Linked DNA regions of Elephas maximus indicus. The protein of the gene in region 1 binds, or shares a complex with, the protein of each later gene. Links are inferred from orthologs where the notes say so. Each region holds a gene or a part of one and is shown on either strand. Other genes may lie near its edges. The genes, in order: JAML and CXADR.

Region 1 (9,573 bases):
GCCTGTCTAATCTTTGGCTGAAGGGTGAACCTTAGAAGTGACTTCATTACTGAGCCGAAAGGATTTCCAGGGGCCATACTCTTGGGGTTTCTCCAGTCTCTGTTAGGCCAGTAAGTCTGGTCTTTTTTTGTGAGCTAGAATTTTGATCTACATTTTTCTCCAGCTCTGTCTGGGACCTTCTATTGTGATCCCTGTCAGAGCAGTCAGTGGTAGTAGCCAGGCACCATCCAGTTGTACCGGACTCAGTCTGGTGGAGGCTGTGGTAGTTGTGGTCCACTAGTCCTTTGGACTAATCTTTCTCTTGTGTTTTTAGTTTTCTTCATTCCTCCTTGCTCCCAAAGGGGTGAGACCAGTGGAGTCTCTTAGATGGCCACTCACAAGATTTTAGGACCCTAGACACTACCTACCAAAGTAGAATGTAGAAGATTTTCTTTATAAACTATGTTATAACACATATTCAAGCCATAACACTGCAGAGTATTTTTTTATTGTGGTAAAAATATGTATAACATAATATTTGCCAATTCAACATTTTTTTACATGTACAATTTAGTACACCCATTATATTAATTATGCTGTGCAACCATCAGGAGTATCCATTGCCAAGTTTAACAGATACTCATTGCTTGCTAAACAATGACTCCCTCTTTTCCCCTCCCTCCTGCCCCTGGTAACCACTGGTAACCTTGGTTTCTATACATTTGCCTATTCTAGATATTTCTTATAAGTAGGATCATATAGTATTTGTCCTTTTGTGACTGACTTATTTCACTCAGCATGTTTTCAAGGTTCATCCATATCATAGCACGTATCAGAGCTTCATTTCTCTTTATGGTGGAGTAGTAGCCCATTGTATACATAGACCATACTTTGTTTATCCCTTCACCTGTTGATGGTCACTTTAGTTATTTCCACCTTTTTGCTGTTGTGAATAGTGCTGCAATGATGGACTTTTAATGAAACAATCCATTGATGGTTTTAAGAGTCAATGTGAACTGATTTATGTTTTCAAAGGATCACTCTGGCTTCTTTGTTGAGAACAGGTGGTAAGGGACCGTACAGAATTAGGGAAACCAATTGAGGGGCTTTAGCAAAGATCTACGTCAGAGAAGATAGTGGTGGTTTGGACTAGGGCGGTGGTGGTAGAGGTGGTGAGAAGTGATTGTATTCTGATTACATTTTGAAGGTAAAGTCAGAAGGATTTGCTGATGGGTTGCAAGGTCCGTTTGGGGGGGGATCCAAACGTGCCATCTTTGCCTAAATTCTGACTGTGTTATTATGTTTCCTATACGCATCACACCAACTGTTCTTTCCCCTCAGGATTCAGACTATGAAGACACATATTAATGCAAGTCTGCATGATTTAAGAAGAGTCACCCATCTGATAATAGAAAACAACTCGTTCCACCGGCCGCTAAAGCCTCTGGGATGAGTGGAGCTGGCCTGGGCAAGCAGTGATGGAGAATTCTGAAAGTCATCAGTAAAGACTTTAGGAACCATTTATTTATTGAAGAAATGTTCTTTTTGTATTTATAAACTGTTCAAAAACTCTCAGAAAAGACTCCTAACTACCCTTTTAATAAGTTATACTTTAATTGAAGAAGGAATTCTTTTCCCAAACAGAAAGATAATTTTGTTTTGCCTTTGCTCTTCGATGTATTACATGTGATCTTCTAATTATTTGAAGGAGAATTCTAAACATTTGCCACTGCTGGTGCCAAAATAGATTTTTTTTTTTTTTTTAAATGAAATGGAGCTTGTAGCTTCCTGATATGCTACCAGACAGAATGTTTGCTTGGGATAAGTATTCCTTGTTTTGTGCTCCGTGGACATTTTCAGCCATGACTTAGCATACAGCATAGACTCATTGGTTTAATGATCTCATCACCATTTGTCTTTGGGTAATCTGAATTGTATAACCTTAATTTCCTTAGAGTTGGTAGGATCAGGAGGCAATGGTTTGCTCTGACTGTGTTTGAAAATATTAAATGAAGTATCATCAATTTAGAATCAACGAAAGAAGTGGTGAGGTAGAGGAATTCCTTTCTTTTGTCTTGCTATGTGCCATTTGGGCCAAGGGGCCATTGTTATTTTCCTTTCTTACAGCTGACCGCTTTATGGTTTTCTTCTTGACTTTTTAGGTCAGAGGGAAAAAACAAAAACAGAAAACAAACCCTTCAAGAGGTTTTCAGTGAGGACTTAGAGACTGTCTTAGCAGTTATTTATAATTAAATCATCTTTTAGTATGTGCTATTTTTCAAAGCTTCTTTGATATCTAAAGTACACCAAATATGCGTACTGTGGTATTTACAGGCTGCCTTTGTTTAGAGATGAGGAAGTGAGGTTGTGCATAACCTATATTTCTTCCTTTTGTGCTTTCAGTACTTTATGACAGCTTCCTCCATTCTCTGATGGCAACTTTTTTTAAGTTTTAATTTGTGTGGGATTTTCTAGAAACCATTAAGAAATGTGTCTGAGCTGTCAGGAAGGATTGGCAGTGTATAGTTAAGTAGTCCTCTGTGATGTAGGGATAAAAATCCTCTGTGATAGAAGAGTTCACTTCTCAATTATGACAGACAACAATGACCCCCTCCTCCCATTTTTGTTTTTTTAAAAGGATGGCCCTTTTCCATTGTTCTCCACTAAGTAGTTCTGGAGCTTTCCATATAGCATTATGTACTGTATATGTTACCGAAAAATCACCTTTCTTTTATATTTTTTGCCAAGATCTATTTTTTTAAAATCTACTTTTGTTAGGTCTGTCTCATAGATTTGGCTTAGCCTCTTTTGTTAACCTAGTGCACAGATTATTAGACATTGGTATTTACCTCTGGTCACGGAAGGAAGTCAGAAGAGGCAAAGGCAGGGTTGGTATTGGCAGTTTACGTTTTCAGTGGTTAAACCTCACGGGTCTTTGGACCACTCGTGGTTGTCTAGGGCCTACCTGGTGAGACCATTTCCGACACCGCGACAGAGAGAGGAAAACAATTTGAGCAATGGGAACAAATAATTAGAGCTCCAGAAGATTTGAAGATAGATACCTGATTGTGAGGGGGCTTTCTGAGGGTCCTCTTTTCTCTAAGAAAGAGATGATGTTACAGGAATGCACTTAAAACTATACCGCATTAAATGAGGAACCAATTTTGGCTGGGTCTTCTTGTTGTGTCCTCACAGGCATGTTGTGGGGATTTTAATCCAGAAGGGTTTTTTTTTTTTTTAGGGTACATTTGTTGTTTTAGGTAAATGGTGCTGTGTGAATACTCACCCAGTCGTGTTATTTTATATCCGTCACCATGATTTGGACCAGTCCCTTCCTTTGTAAAGGACTGAACAATAGAGTCCTTCATGGCAAGGGAGTCAGTTGATAATTTAGTCTACTTCATGCGCCTGTAGTCACATCCCAGTCATGAGGCTGCTATCAACTACCTTCTCCATCCCTTATATCCTTATATTGAGGTCTGATTATAGCTTTTTTCTTCAAGGGAGCACAAAGCAGTGCTTGGATACCTACTTTGTTTAAGAATGGAAGGAAGATAAAGGTTTAGTTTTTTCTTTTTAACCTACTCTTTTAATATCTTCTAAGGTGCTATTCTCTCTCTTTCATTTCTTTTTCTTTTTGCTGCTTCCTGAGTTCTTGTCACACCATAATGAGACTAGCCTTTTCTAGAAAGGAAATTTAATTCTGAAAGCTTCATAAGGGGTTAAAAGTCTTTCAGAGGTTTTCTTTGGCTGCTGAAGTCTTTACTTGTGGTCACACTACCTTATGAGTTTTGTGTATTAAGCTCTTAAGTATGTTACAAAATGTGAACTTATAAAGTACTTTGTGTTTCCCATGTGACCTGTTAACCTCAGGCTACTTGGGGGACATCCCAGTTCCCTGCAGCCCCCAAAATGGGCACGGGTGCTTCAGGAGGGAAGGTCGCATGTCCCTGTTTTTGTTTTTTAATCTGGAGGCCAAATCCTGAATCTGAATGTTCTACTGCATCACTCAGTTACACTCCTAAAGGTGAGCTGCAAGAAGACCCTGAAGGGGTGGACCAAGACTATCATTTAACCGCACAACTCAAAGCTTTGCTGCAGAAGAGGCAGTTCCATCGTTTGACTCCTGTGTCAGATTGTTACTCCTGCATCTCAGCGAGTTTTCTGCTTTTGTCTTTTTGTAGGAGGGTATGCACTGTTGGACATGTGCATAGGCATTGTAACTCTTGGTGTCTTACTGTGTCATAACATTAATAAACTTCTTTGCACTTTCCAGCTGCATTTTGGTGTATATCTACATATAAGATGAAAGCTGTTGTGTGAAAGAGGGTGCTTGTAGTTTTCAATATCAAGCAATAAGTCATCTCTGAGTTGCTCTCAAGCAACAACCTACATAAATTCAGCCATGTGCTGGGGCCGGCTCACACTGCCCACAAGAGCTGACTGCTAAAATTTTAGGATTTTTATGAGCTTGTTTTTAAACTATTGATAGCTCAGAATTGGTTATGTTGGAAATATTTTCACTACAGAAAAAACTAAGGACCATCCAGCATAGACCTTGATAAGAGCAAGCATTGAACAGCTTTTCAAATGATGAATAAGACAAGTTCCATAAAATGAGTACGTACAGATTTTTAGATATAGAAGTCCTAATACCTAAGACAAGGTCAAAGGCATATATATCAAGCACACTTATTTTGAAGTGGTGACTTAAGACCAAGAGATAACTTGGAGTGAAGAAGCCTTGAGTTCTTATCTAGGATGCCCAAGTCATCCAAGGGCCCCCTGGGGGGATAAATTGCTGCCTATATTCTGGAAATGCTGGCATCACACTGCAGGAAATCTACATGTCGGGTGGAAAGTCGGAGGACTAAGCAGGCATATCTTTGGAAGCAGGGGCTGAGCGATTGTTTGGCTATATTGCAACCCTGTGTTGAGAGAAAAAATAAGGGAGACTATTGTATCTTGAACACAGAGCAAAATACTTGTATTAATCTTAAATTTGTTGTATTTTGTCTGTATAAGGCAGATCTCAGCAGATGCTTGCCTGATGCCATTCAAGATCCTACCCTCAGAGAGTTTGTAATCTAGAATGGGAGATGACACCTACAGAGATCTGTAATGTGAGGTTCACCTCAGAAGGTGGATTTATTACCTCTTTAGAATGAAAATATAAATACACATTGGGTAATGGGCCAGATGACTAAAATGGGAACCTCGATTTAGAGGTTCCTGTTTGCATCTCTGCAGCCACCTCAGAACGCACGCATTTGGTCTTGAGCCTGAACTGCTCTGCCGTCCGTGGGAGACTGCAGCTGCATTGCTTCTCCCAGGCGCTCTTCATCTTAGGTAAGCAATTTCCTCGTATTTTTTAGCAGTTGTTTGAACTTGTCTCACTCAGAAGAAGGCTGGTTCTGAAGTTGTTTATTGGAAATCCTTTAGGACTGTGAGACCACAATCACAGAACTCTCAGTCTTAGCAGAGGGACTGTCATGAGGTAGTCTAGTGGTTGTAGTTTTCTGTAGTGTAGAGAAATTTATGTGTAAGATCCTCAGTGAAATGAAGAGCAATGTTTACTTTTAATAAAAAAGCAAGTGATGATGATAAGGCTTTAGCTTTTAAGTTGCCTGTGACTTTAGGTAGAGCTGTGACTAGGTGTCCTTTAGCTTGTGACAGAACTCTTTCTTCATTGTTTCTCTTCTCCCAGTCCTAGACAAGCATATTTAATCTTAAGGATCCAGGAACTTAAACCTCCCAAGAGAACTAGACGACCGTCCATTACATTTTTTGCACCCTCTGCATACTCCTGACATTGGGAAAGACTGATGTGTGATGGTTTAGGTATAACCGATATTGAAGGAGGAACCAAGAGTGCTGACTTCCAAGGTCCCCTTCCAGTAGATGGTTGACTGATGTAACTTGGGTTACATTTAAGAAGCCCTGAGAACTACCAGTCTGTATGAAATGGTCTTGAAAGGAGTGGTTATGTGGACTCGTATACCTAACAACATCTGAGAGCCTGGAGGTTCACAGCAACAGGGAGCTGACTATGTGAGCAATGAAGACTTGGCAGTTGTCTGTTTGCTCAGTAGTTGGTTGTCCTTATGAGGGTGGATACTTTGACCAAGAGACTGAACCTCTTCCTAGTTTTTGTCTGTATAACTTTAGGATGAATAAATGATGATTTGAATAAGTTATATCCTATGACCCTGGGGAAGATTCAGTGTTTTTTTTTTTTTTTTATTGCGAACTTGTTACATTTGGGAGTTGTTTTCATGTCCTGTGAGGTAGTCTCACTGTCATGAGTCTTTTTTCTGAGGATTTTTTTTTCCTGGCATAATTATGTTAAGGATAACAATTTATGGTGGTGTAGTGGTTAAGAGCTACGGCTGCTAACCAAAAGGTCAGGAGTTTGAATCCACCAGGTACTCCTTGGAGACCCTATGGGGCAGTTCTACGGTGTCCTATAGGGTCGCTATGAGTCAGAATTGACTCAATGGCAATGGGTTTTATTCATAATAGGAAAGGGAATCCTGATAGTCACAACCCCCAAACCGCCCTCCCATCCCCAGTAGTTAGAGAAGATGTTTGGCAGGAGGTGTATTGTGAAAGAGGCATGAGCCCAGGTCAAAACGTTTGGCCAACATATGAGATAATTTACTGTAGGTAATTATCTGAAGAATATCTGCTGAGGAGTTAAATCAGTTCTGGAGAAAGGCGAAAGCCAGGGAGAAGGTGAGAATTTTAAATGGAGTCTGTTGTTACCAAGGTTCTTAAGGTGCTTCTGAAGGCTTTGATTGGACACTGGTGATGCAGAGGTGAGCCTACACGGGCACAGTTCTTGGTCTGAAGGAGCTTGTAGTCTTGCAGGTGCAGGTGGAGAGCAAGACTTTGATCAAGTGTGCACATGTATAAATAGATGAGTATAAATTGTGACAAATGCCATAAAGGAAATACAAATATTACTAAGGGATCTGACTTGGTCTAGATGGTTCAGGAAGGCTTCACCCAAGGAAATGACATTGAACTTGAGATCTGACAGATGAACAGGTGCTAACTGGGTAAAGGGGAGAGTGATGGTGATGGGAAGAACATTCCAGTCAGAGGAAGCAGATTACTTTTGTTTTGATAAATTCAGAGGAACTTTGCTCTAAAATATTTCCTTTCACAAATATGGAGAAGCAGTATAATATAGTAAGGACCCAGGCTCTGAAGCCAGACTGTCTGGGTTTGAAACCTGTCTTTGCCTCTTGTTATGTGTTCTCAGGCAAGTCTCTTCATCAATCTGTGCCTCAGTTGCCTCATGTGTAAAACCTCATAGCGTTGATGTGAGCATTAAACGAGTCGATGTGTAGTAGTGCTCTGACAGTGCCCGGCAGATGACCTCCCTGGGTTTATTGCATATCAACTACTGATTTCTAGTGTGCTGCCTATTAACCAGGAAGATGTTAAGGATGAGGTCCAGAGAGGTTGACTGATTCCCCAAAGATCAAAGGGTTAGCTAATGGAAGGTCCGACCTTGGAAGAAATTTTTATTCATTTATTTTTTAAAACTAATTCAATGCTTTCTCTACTAAAATCATTGCTTCTCCATTCATTCACACAGAGTAGTAATGGTGCATTTGGCTATTTAGGGCTGAAAATGGATGTTGTAGATTCATCAGATTGTTTGCACCTTTCTTCCAATGTTTGAAAATGATTTGGGTGTGGCCCTGAATGAATCAGGTTTGGTGACTAGATCGAGAGTCTTTATGGGGTTTCCTTTTAGAATAGAGTAGTGTAGGATGTCTCTAAGGTGATTTCGGTTTAATGGTCACACTGACAGCTCTCAGTATATCTGGCATGTGCCAGGCACTTTATCAGATGGTGTAGCACAAGAATAAGATACAAACATAAACAAGACATGCATGGTCCTGCCCTGGAGAATGTGCAGACTAGAAGAGGGTTTGGTGTCAGACACGTAAACCAATCATACCAGTTACCGGTTGCCCTCAAGTCAAACCTGATTCGTGATGACCACATGTGTGTCAGAGTAGAACTGTGCTCCATAGGATTTTAAGTGGCTGATTATTCGGAAGCAGAGTGCCGGGTCTTTCTTCCGAGGCACCTCTGGGTGGACTCAAACCTCCAATCTTTTAGTTAGCAGCCAAGTGTGTTAACCATTTGTATCATCCAGGGACTCCAAAAAATCCTCCCCTTCTGTGCAAATGGTACACTGCTGGGGGAATGTACAAGTGCTGCTTGTTGGGCAAGAGAGGAGCACAACCAACTCTCTGGGGAGGATTTATACAGAAGTTGACAGTGATCTGGATGTCCCAGATATGATAATTAAGATTATGACATGCTGTAAAAGAAGCCGTTTATAACCCTCACCCATGTGTATTGGGGTGAGGTCGGGGGATGGAGCAGGAGAAGGGCTATGGCTGTCTTGAGACAAATCCATGTTTTCATTAGATGTACTTATGTTTGGGGGAACTTAACATGACTCTTGGAATATCTGGGTCCAAAACCAAACCCGCTGCCGCCGAGTCAATTCCAACTCATAGCGACCCTATAGTGCCCCTATAGGACAGAGTAGAACTGCCCCATAGAGTTTCCAAGGAACACCTGGTAGATTCGAACTACCTACCTTTTGGTTAGCAGACGTAGCTCTTAACCACTACGCCACCAGGATTTCCATATCTGGATCAGCGTAATTAACATCCACAATTTTATAATGGGGCTCAAAAATTGAAACATAGCCTTTCCAGTTCATTCTCAGTCACCACGTGCCATTCAGGAAAAAGTACAAGCTCAGAACCTAAAATATCCCTTCTGAAGCTAGAAGTTCTGTTTTCTTTCTGACTAATAAGTTGTAAAAAATAGAAACTTATATGGTAATGCTTTCTATTTTTCAAATCACTTTCACATTATTACATTTGATCCTCGCATTATTGTTCCGTGTTATAGGTGAGGAAACTGAGGTTCAGCAAGGTCAACTGACTTGTATGAGTAAATGGGGTCTAGGGTTGGGTGTCCTTGACCCTGATTTTCCAGATGGAGGCATTTGTTGATTAGAGTATAGGCGAGGAATGTCTTATGTAGTCATGTTTTATAAATTAAAATGATCACCATTTTTTATTCTTAAAATGGATAAATGTGCCAGACTTCCCCTCAGATCTGAGTGGGGTATTGTGCTGTTAAGGCACTAGAAAAACCTCTCCCTCCAGCAGATTTCTGAGGTGGATTCTTCCAGTGTCAAGCTGGTCGGCGGCTGGATCATGGCTGAGACCAGGCACAGTTATAGGTAGGAACCTAAGACTGGTTGAACTGTACTCCTTGAAGTTAGGGTTCTCCTGTTTAGCTAAGCAAATTTGGGGGCATTGTGTTAAATGGTGAATCCTTTCCCAGGAGCTGGTGAAAATGCAGTGAAATTAACACCACAGAGATAATATAAACATTAAAAAAATACTTTTGCCCACGCACGGCCCAATTTTCATCCTACCCACACCTCCCTGCCTAAAAAAGGAAAAAAAACCTCGCCATAAACCTTTCATGTGGCTTCTTTGTGTCACGGAACTTGGTTAATATCTTATTTGAGCCTAAATTTTCCCC
Region 2 (9,521 bases), on another chromosome or scaffold:
CAGAGATAAAGTCTCAATTTCTTTATGCTAACAATCGAATGAGAAAATGTTAGTGGGCCAGTGGAATGACTACTGTAAGGACAATCTTTCTAGGACGAGAAGGGAGAAAAAGGGAAATGGAATTGTATTATACACACACACACAGCCTTCTCTTCACTTATCGATACGGTTAGGTTCCAAAGACCAGATCATCATGCAAAATCGGCATTATGTGACAATGTAGCACGACAACATATCACAAAATGAAGAATGTCTACTTCATTACTTAACTGCCAAATGACATCATCATGACAGAATTGCCAAATTATATCACCATGTAACTGCCAAACCACTGGGAATCACGGCCCAGCCAAGGTGACACATAACCTTAACCATCACAGCCAGTGTTACTCTTGCCCTGTGCCTGTGTTTGTTACTGCCAAACATATGTTATTAACGCACAAAATAGCTGAAGAGTAGATTTTTTTACTATTGTTGTAAATGTGAAACGTCACATAACAACATAGTCGATAAGTGAGGTGTATGTATACATCTGTGTGTGCATAACTGCGTGTACACACACACACATGCCTAGCAGAAAATGGGTTAAAAATAGTTATACAACAAACACTGGCTGAACCCTTGCTGTCAGCCGTGCCCCAGGAGCTGACACTGAGACTGTAACAGCGAACAATACAGACAATGCTCTTGCCCTTTGATCTAGTGCAAAGAGATACATCTGGTAACAGAAGCAGATTCTACAACAAAGGAGTCAGCGTAGGCAGGCTAGCCTTGGAGGCAACTTTTGTTCAGATGGTGGGATGATGGCAGGAATATAAATATTAGAGGAAAGCACACAGAGGAGATAAAGTTCGTACCTAATAACCTTAATTTTTTTTTTAACTTAAAGGAAAAGATTTCAGGTAAAGTGATAAAATATCTTTCACTCCCCACTACAACTCTGAGATAGCATGGGTCTCATTCTTAATACATAAAGCAACTGAGGCAACAGAAGAGGACAGAGGCCCGCCCATCGTCAAACATGGTTGAGGGACCAGAATCACTGACCAGTCCTTTTTCAGTTCCACTCACATTGACAGCATGAAAACAGAAGCACCCCAAACTTTTGTGGGTACACGGGTCAGTTTACAACCACGGTCTCAGCCCTGAAGAATACTAGTGCTCTTGTAGTGCCTGAAAGAATTTAACTAAGATCAGGAAATTAAAGGGCTCATAATAAAAGCCCTCAGTGCTTGGCACAAAGTCAAGCCAACAACAGATTCTTAATAAATGACAGACGACCAATGGTAGACATTAGGACGTCGATTAGAGGCAATCAAAGAGTGAAGTATCTGGCTGCTTGAAAGGCAGAATAGCACAGATAAGGGCACAGATTCAGGAGCAATTTCGTAATCCTAGCAAGCTAAGTCATTTACTCGCTCTGTGCCTGTTTTTCCCACTTGTACAACAAGGGTAATTACGGTTGCTAGGAAGGTCGGTACGAGTAGGAATCGACTTGATGGCCCTGGGTTTTTTTAGGAAGATTAAGCGAGTATATGTAAAACTCTTAGAACAGCACCTGGCATTTAATAAGTGCTTAATTAAGGGATTAATTTTAGTACTATTGCTACTACTACCATGTGCCCTGGTGGCACAGTGGTTAAGTGCCCAGCTGTTTACCAGAAGGTCAGCAGTTCAAACCCACCAGCTGCTCCACAGGAGAAAAAATGTGGCAGTCAACTTCCGTAAAGATTTACAACCTTGGAAATCCCATGATGCAGTTCTACGCTGTCCTGTAGGGTCATTATACGTTGAAATCGACTCTGGCGGCAATGGTTTGGCTGGGGGCTGCTACTACCGTTTTACTGCTGCCACTACTGTAAACAGCAGTGGTAGTAATAGAGAACTGCTACTAGTAGTAAGACTTGGCACTAGGTAAGCAATAATAATGCACGAAAAGGAATCCCATCAACATCCAAAACACAACACTCTTTACTACCTACACAGAGACAGGTCTAAAGGAGAATCTATCACAGACAGCACTGCAATTTCTAATACGTAAGCCTCCACTTTGATTTACCAATGTAGGAGACATATCATGTTAATACTGAACTTGAGTTCTTAGCAACACATTTCTAAAATGGTCAGAAATAGGTGAAGTACTCAAAGCCAGGTATCAATTCCAGTTTCTGAGTTGATTTCTAAGACGGACAATTAGAATAAAAAGTTGTCTTGTTTAGCTAACCATGATGTCCTCTAAGGTGATGTTCGCTGTACCCTGGTGTACACACTATGAGCGCAACAACTTTATATGTATCAAAATAGCCTTGGCTGAGAATGTGTCCATCAAAGTGAGGCATTCCAGAAGAAATGAAATACTATAATCTGGATAGCTGGTGGCGCAGTGATTAAGAGCTACAGCTGCTGGTCAAAGGGTCGGTAGTTCAAATCCACCAGGCATGCCTTGGAAACCCTGTGGAGCAATTCTACTCTGTCCTGTAGGGTCGCTATGAGTCGGAATCAACTCCATAGCAATGGGTTTGGTTTGGATAGCCGGGGTGGGGGGGATGTCCTCTATGTTCTTACACTTCTCTGATTTAGATGTGGTCTAAAATGCTTTTTCTCCTCTAAGAGAACATACACATTGCCAACTTCAGCTTTTTCAGTCTTGACAAAACAAAGGTAGGAACGTACACATGCCATGTAAACTGGTGACGTAACCTTTAATCTTTTCAGGAAGCTTTACTTTGGAAATTTAAACCGAGTCTAAATTACATGTAAAGGTGAAGGCAGTGCTACAAACTTTGATGGGAGATTGCTGGGTGCTGTCAAGTTGATTTCAACTCATAGTGATCCCATGTGATAGAGCAGAATTGCCCCATAGGGTTTTCATGGGTGTAATCTTTACGGGAGCACATCACCAGGTCTTGCTCTCAAGGAGCCTCTGGGTGGGTTCGAACCGATGACATGTGGGTTGGCAGCCAAGCACTGAATCACTCGGACACCAGGGCTCCTTGATCAAAGATTTGACTTGTTAATTGACTGCTGATCACATGAGTAATGCTCACAGCTGTGGTATCCAACAATGGCATTAACATTTCAACAGGAAGCAGAGAGCCATCCCAACAGAAAAGAGCCACCGGATCATGCTTTACAGAGCACTATTATCCTTCCGGAGGCTACAAAGTGTGCCTCCTATGGCCCCACCTATGGATTTTTTCTCTTTCGAGTATATAAAAGGCGACGTATGCTTAGCCTGACAAACAAGATTCGCTGGTTGAAACACTGATAGAGAAACTGATCAGGTTCTTAAGTGTCAAAATGATTATGTTTTCTAATGGCCAGCGCATTTTTTAAATACCCTTTTCCCCCCTCCCAGAGTAAGGCACAGACCAAAAACGTACTTGGTGAAGGAATTACCCCGTACAAGCCACCCCATCCCGTTTTATCTTCAAAACGAACCAAATGATTTCAAACTCACAACCGAGGTTACTAAATTTCCCTTTGCTCTGGACTGCAGAAATCAATACTGCGTTTTTGCAGAAACCTATTTTGATTTCCCACGGTCTACCTCGTGATTCACCCATCCGTCTCTTGCCGGGGCTTGCCTCTTGTACGAGATCAAGAAAGCCTAGGATAGCACTCCTTCAGCGCCTCCTTCCTAGACGTACCTTGGACGATCCGCGGCACTGAAAAGCGCGGTGGCTACTGAATAATGGCGTTTGTAATTCAGCCTCTATGCCTGGACTGCTCGACACCTGAAAACCCGCCGCCCGAGGCTTTTGAAATCGGGTAATCCTGGACGAACGTGATCCGGAGGCTAACAACGGAAAGGGCAGGAGCGTACGAGGCACAGCCCGCACCCGCGGCAAACACGGTCTGGGAGCCGTCGGGGGCACCGCGCGCCGCGCCCACCCGCGAACCCGAGCTCCGCTAGCGCGCCCGGCCCGCCCGGCCGCCGCACCCTCCTGGCTCGCGCGCCCAGCCCCAAACCACGGCGAGCAGTGCAGCCCGCACCCCACCACCGCACGGCGCCCCCGAACCGCGCCAGCCCCCTCCCCCACGCCCATTGTTCCCGGGCGGCCGCGGGCTGGGCCGGCGGCGCGGTGCCGGGAGCCGCCTCGCCTGCACGTACCCGCGAATCCGCACAGGAGCACGAAGCTCAGCAGAAGCGCCATGGTGGCGGCCCGGCCGTGGGCGGCGGTGGCAGGTATGCGGCTGTCGCCCGGGGTCCAGGTCTCCCCGCGCCTCGCGCGTTCCCGACTGGTTCGCGGCGGCGGCGCGGCACCTCTGCACCCCCGCCCTCGCTCCGCAGGTGAAGTCGCGTCACTTCCGGCTGCGGCTCGGCCCTACGGCTCCCGGTCCGCCCGCCGCGTGGGGTTGCCATGGCAACCGGGAGCTGCGCGGGGGCTGCCCGCGGGGACTCTCGGGGCAGCGAACTGTCGCGCCCGCCGCAGCGCAGCGCTTCGGGGTGCCGGGGTGGCGCCCGCCTCGAGCCTGAGCCGGGGTGCTGCCTCCACGCCTCCGACTAAACGTGGGGGTTTTGTGCCCGGGAGCCGGGTCAGGCTCTCTCCCCAGGCAACTGAAACTGCGGTCGCGCGCTCGCCCCGGCCGCGGCGCGGGATTATCCTCACCGCCTCCCTCCGACCCTGAAGGGCGGCTAATGCCGTCGGCGCTGCAGCCCACCCCAGCCCGGCGCTCCGGCGCCCACCCCGCCCGGCCCTCGGGGACGCAGGGGATGAGGGACCACCGCCCCATCTCCGCGCTTCCTGCAGGGCTGGGCGCTCACGCCTGAGTCTAGGCGACGCGGGCTGGGCACACACCCCCACTTGCTCGCTGCCTTTGAGAAGACTTCTCAACTTCCAGCAATGACGAACCGCCAAACTGCGACTATGGATTTGGAACATACCCAGTTTTTTGTTTTTTCCTTGCATTTAAAGGATATTCTATTTAAGGAGACCTGGTACTGCAGCGCTAACCGAAAGGTTGGTGGTTCGAACCCACCCGGGGGCTTCGCGAGCGAAAGACCTGGCAATCTGCTTCCCTTAAAGATTACTGCCTAGAAAACCCTACAGGGCAATCCTACTCGGTCATATGGGGTTGCTATGAGTCAAAATCGACTCCAGGGCACCCAACCACTAACGCTGAAATTCTTGGATAAGGATGAGTGAGTTTTTAAAATGGGGCTAAGTAGGGGTGGTTAAAGGCCTGGGGGTGGGAATGCGGGGATTTAGATGTCTTGAGTGTCCCCGTCAACGCTTCACTGTCGCTTTTGTCTCCTGGTGTCCTCAGTACTTGCTTGTGTGTCATTTTGCTGCCCCTTCTGGGGTTGCTCCTCCCAGATAAGGTTTATTTATAACTGCAGAGATATTTGGGAGTTGTGAACAGTTAGTTCCATATCAGGAGTGAGATAGAGGAGAACCGTGTGGTGCAGTGGCGAAGAGCTTGGACTCCACAGTGGGGCAATAACTGGGCAACTTATTTAGAAATAGCACCTACCTCAGGGGATTGCTATGAAAATTACACAAGATAATGCACAAAAAATGTTTGCCATAGAGTGCCTGGCACATAGTAAATACTCAGTAAGTGGCAGCTGCTAATAAAGATAATATTGAAAAATTCTTGTTTACTGCAGCAGAAAAGAGAAAGGGCAAAGGAAGTAAATCTGTTATCATGAAGACCAAAACTGTCCAACTTCAATTTAGCCTGGTGGTTTGCACCCCTAGAGGCACATTAAAATCATGTGGAGAACTTAAAAATACCACTGTTACAGCTCCACTCCAGTGATTCTGATTTAACTTGTCTTAAGTAGAATCTTGGCATATCCAAGGAGTATAGACATGAGACAGGATGAGTAACTGCTTCAGACTTCCTATTCATTGAGGAAACAAGAATTCTACTGGATATAATTGTAGATACATAATATTTGGAATTTACATTTTTAATCACTACATCATACTTTATGGAATTAAGTAGAAGAGATTAAGTATTGAAGTTGCTCTTACCTATTTCAAACTGTTTCATGAGAACCTTTCTTAGTATTAACTGCTTCATAGTAGCACACACTTATTATAAAGTTGTACACTTAATGCCTCCTCCAGGTAGAAACCAAATCCACCCTTCAGGGTTCATTTCAACCAGTTACTACAGTAAATCTATAGAGATTGCCCAAAAGACTTTTCGTCTTAATCCCTTTCCTCCTTTTTTTTTTTTTTTTTTTAGTAATCCTTACCTCTGCCTCCTCCTGTGGTAGTCATTTGCATACAAAAAAAAATTTTTTTTTTTTTTAAGTCACTTCCCTTACTCTGAGCATCCTTACAAGGCTGAAAAGGCCCATCATTCATCTTTGTTGCTCATGGAAGCACAGCACATAGTAGGCTCTCAAGTATTGAGTTGAATGTTCATTTTCTGTATCGTGTGTTAATAAAAGTTGTTTAAATATCCATACAATAAATCACAAATATTACATCTTCAATTTTTAGAATGGACTTTTAAAAAAAATTTTACAAGCTGAATGTTTTATATACTTCTTTGAATTACTGATCTCAAAGCTTTAAAAATGTATCATCTCTGAGATTTAATGAACTATGAAAAGAGCAGCTTACCTTATTTAGGGAGCTAATGTTCTTTAAACACATATATGAAGTCACTTTTTGATGTTGCTTTGTGACAGTCTCATTAATTCCAGAACATACAATTATACATTGTTGGGTATCCTCAAACCAAGCTAACAAATAGCACACAACCATTAAATGAATTGTTCTGTCTTAGTAAAGCTCTATGAACTCCTCATGGTATAGCCTCTAAACCAGCGGAAAGGTGATTCTGGTCCGTCAAGAAGGTGGTAATTATAGAGACATAAATAACTCAGTGGTTAATAAAGCATTCGCCTTTACAAAGATCTCTCAGCAGTAATGATCTTTCGACACACCCACAGATGATTAAAATCCTACTATCATATTCGGGGGTTGATTTACCTTAAGAATGAAAGGCTTTTCACTTCTACTAGCTCCGAATATGAAGGTATGTGAAATACGGAACTTCCTATCATACATGACACCACTGAGTTTTATAATTTCTAGAAAGTGATAATGCTTTTTTTAAGAAACAACAGTTTTCTTGCTTGTGAACTGTATGTTGTTCAGAACACTGGTTTTTTTAGATTAATATCAGCAAAAAACTTATCATCTTGTTCTAATGAGAGAAAGTCATCTATTTACCCTTAAGCAATGCATTATAAATATAAGCATTTTTAGTTTTATGTACATAAACACTAATACTCTAATATTCATAAATCAGCCCTTAGCCAGTGACCTAGCAATGTTGGATCTTTTTCTTGCTTTTTTTTTTTTAGGTTCCTGATAATGCAAATTCCAAAATAAATACACAAAAGTGATAAGTTTATACAGACCAAAATTGTAGGCATGTAAAGATACCTTTATAAAACTCACAAATGAAAAGGCTTTTTCCCCCCTTATGTAGCTAAAGGAGGCCTGGTTAAGAGCTTGGCTGTTTGTTCTATTAACCAAAAGATGAGCAGTTGAAATTCACCAGCTGCTTCTTGGAAACCCTATGGAGCAGTTCTGCTCTGTCCTAGAGAGATGGTTGCTATGAGTCGGAATCAAGTCGATGGCAACGGGTTTGATTTTGGTTTTAAAGATCCCCTGCATTAAGCTGGAGTTTCTACTTTTTCTCTTTGATTGTAGTAACTTTTCTTTACCCCTCCAAAAAAACCAAAAACCAGTTGCCATCGAATCGATTTCAACTCATGGTGACCCCACATGCTTCAGAGAGCTGGCCTCCATAGGGTTTTCAGGGCTGTGACCTGATCTTTTGGGCGGGCTCAAACTGACAGCTTTTTGGTTAATAACCCTACACTAAACCATTTATGCTACGGAGGGGGCTCCCTCTTTGCTGCAGAATTCTTATTTTTATCCGTTATGTGAGGCATTCAGTGGGACTGCAGATGCATTTCCTTCTGGGAAATTTTCTTGAGTGAGTTAATCCACATACTGCATTTAGCATGGTGCCTGGAACCTAGTAAGTACTCAGATGATGTTATCTGTTATTATCATTATTGTTTCCTTGTTTACCATTCCCTTCTTGCATCTCAAACCACTTTTGAGATCACCTTCCTTGTTCCAGAATTATATCCTTTAGAAATTCCTTTACTGAGGATCTCTGGAAGGTATTTTTGTCTGTCTAAAAATACCTATTTTTAATTTGCCATCATTCTTTTTTTTTTAATATTTTACTGTGTTTTAGATGAAAGTTTACACAGCAAATTAGGTTCCCATGTAACAATTTTTATACAAATTATTCCATTACATTGGTTACATTTTTCACAGTGTGTCAACATTCTCACTATTTCTTTTCTGTTCTATTAATCTGGCCTCCCTGAAGGAGTCCCAGTGGTATAGTGGTTAAGGGCTTGGCTACTAACTGAAAAGTTGGCTGTTTGAACCCACCAGTTGCTTTGCTGGACAAAGATGTGGCAGTCTGCTTCCACAGAGATTAAAACCAAAAAGTTATTTCTAGGTAGTAGCTAGTGGATTTGAACTGCCAACCTTTGGTTAGCAGCCAAGCTCTTAACTACTGCACCACCAGGGCTCCTTTGCAAAGATTACAGCCTTGGAAACCCTGTGGGGCAGTTCTACTCTGTCCCAGAGGACTGATGACTGGTGTGGTGGTGATGAGCTTCCCTGACCCTCCTTAGCGTCTCATCTTTGTTTTAGGGTAAGTATTGACCATTTGGTTTCCTATAGTTGATTATTTAAGGGAGCATTGTACTCACAAGTGGAGCCCCGGTGGCGCAGTGATCAAGAGCTACAGCTACTAACCAAAACGTTGGCAGTTTGAATTTATCAGCTGCTCCTTGGAGACCCTCTGGGGCAGTTCTACTCTGCCCTATAGGGTCGCTGTGAGTCGGAATCAACAGCAACAGGTTTCGGCTTTTGGTACTCCTGAGTGATATGGTTTATTTTATAAGCCAATCTATTATTTAGATGAAAAATGATCACTGGGAGTGGCTTCGGTTCCAAGTTCAAAGGGTATTTTACAGTGATAGTCTTGGGGGTTCCTCTAGTCTCCAGCAGTAGAGTAAGTCTGGCCTTTTTTAGGAATTTGAGTTTCGTTCCACATTTTTCTCCCCTTCTATCTGAGACCTTCTTGCCGTCATTTTTGAAAGGTAGAGTTCTTGTATAGAATTCAGGGTAACCTGTCTTTTCTCTCAGTGCTTTCAAAATATTATTCCACTATATTCTAGCTTCCTTTGTTTCTCTAGTAAGTCAATCTAATAGTTCTTGTAGTTAATCTGGCTGCTTGTATGATCTCTTTGATTTTGTTATTCTACAATTTTATTACAATGGGATTAGGTTTTTTTTTTTTTAATCCTGCCTAGGATTTCTTGAACTTGAGAGAATTCCTATCTTCCCATAATTCTGCAAAAATCTCAGTATTCAAATTCTCATTGAATATTGCTTTCCTCACATTCTATTATTCTCTTCTGGAACTCCAATTCGATGTATGTTACACCTTCTTCT

Evidence for each region.
Region 2: the proteins of JAML (region 1) and CXADR are in contact, whole or in part, in a crystal structure (PDB 3MJ7), measured with the Mus musculus proteins. The link is inferred for Elephas maximus indicus from reciprocal best matches to the Homo sapiens genes JAML and CXADR. Residues at the interface, in NP_001005421.3 of Mus musculus: Arg57, Asp59, Ala69, Tyr72, Phe75, Tyr77, Leu80, Val82, Glu120, Arg122, Ser127, Met128, Val129, Met130, Lys131; in NP_001020363.1 of Mus musculus: Thr23, Gly51, Pro52, Asp54, Glu56, Leu58, Ser60, Gln65, Ile66, Val67, Asp68, Gln69, Val70, Leu73, Tyr83, Lys121, Lys123, Lys124, Ala125, Pro126, Gly127, Val128, Asn130.

Annotation. Positions count from the first base shown.
Region 1 is NC_064835.1:10,661,323-10,670,895, reverse strand, and holds the start of JAML (junctional adhesion molecule-like), read left to right. Parts: upstream 1-5,221; 5' UTR 5,222-5,328; intron 5,329-9,573. Other genes in the region: MPZL3 (myelin protein zero-like protein 3), read left to right, coding at 1,321-1,347. UniProt on the Homo sapiens protein: Transmembrane protein of the plasma membrane of leukocytes that control their migration and activation through interaction with CXADR, a plasma membrane receptor found on adjacent epithelial and endothelial cells.
Region 2 is NC_064836.1:44,146,722-44,156,242, forward strand, and holds the start of CXADR (coxsackievirus and adenovirus receptor), read right to left. Parts: upstream 4,292-9,521; 5' UTR 4,158-4,291; coding exon 4,115-4,157; intron 1-4,114. UniProt on the Homo sapiens protein: Component of the epithelial apical junction complex that may function as a homophilic cell adhesion molecule and is essential for tight junction integrity.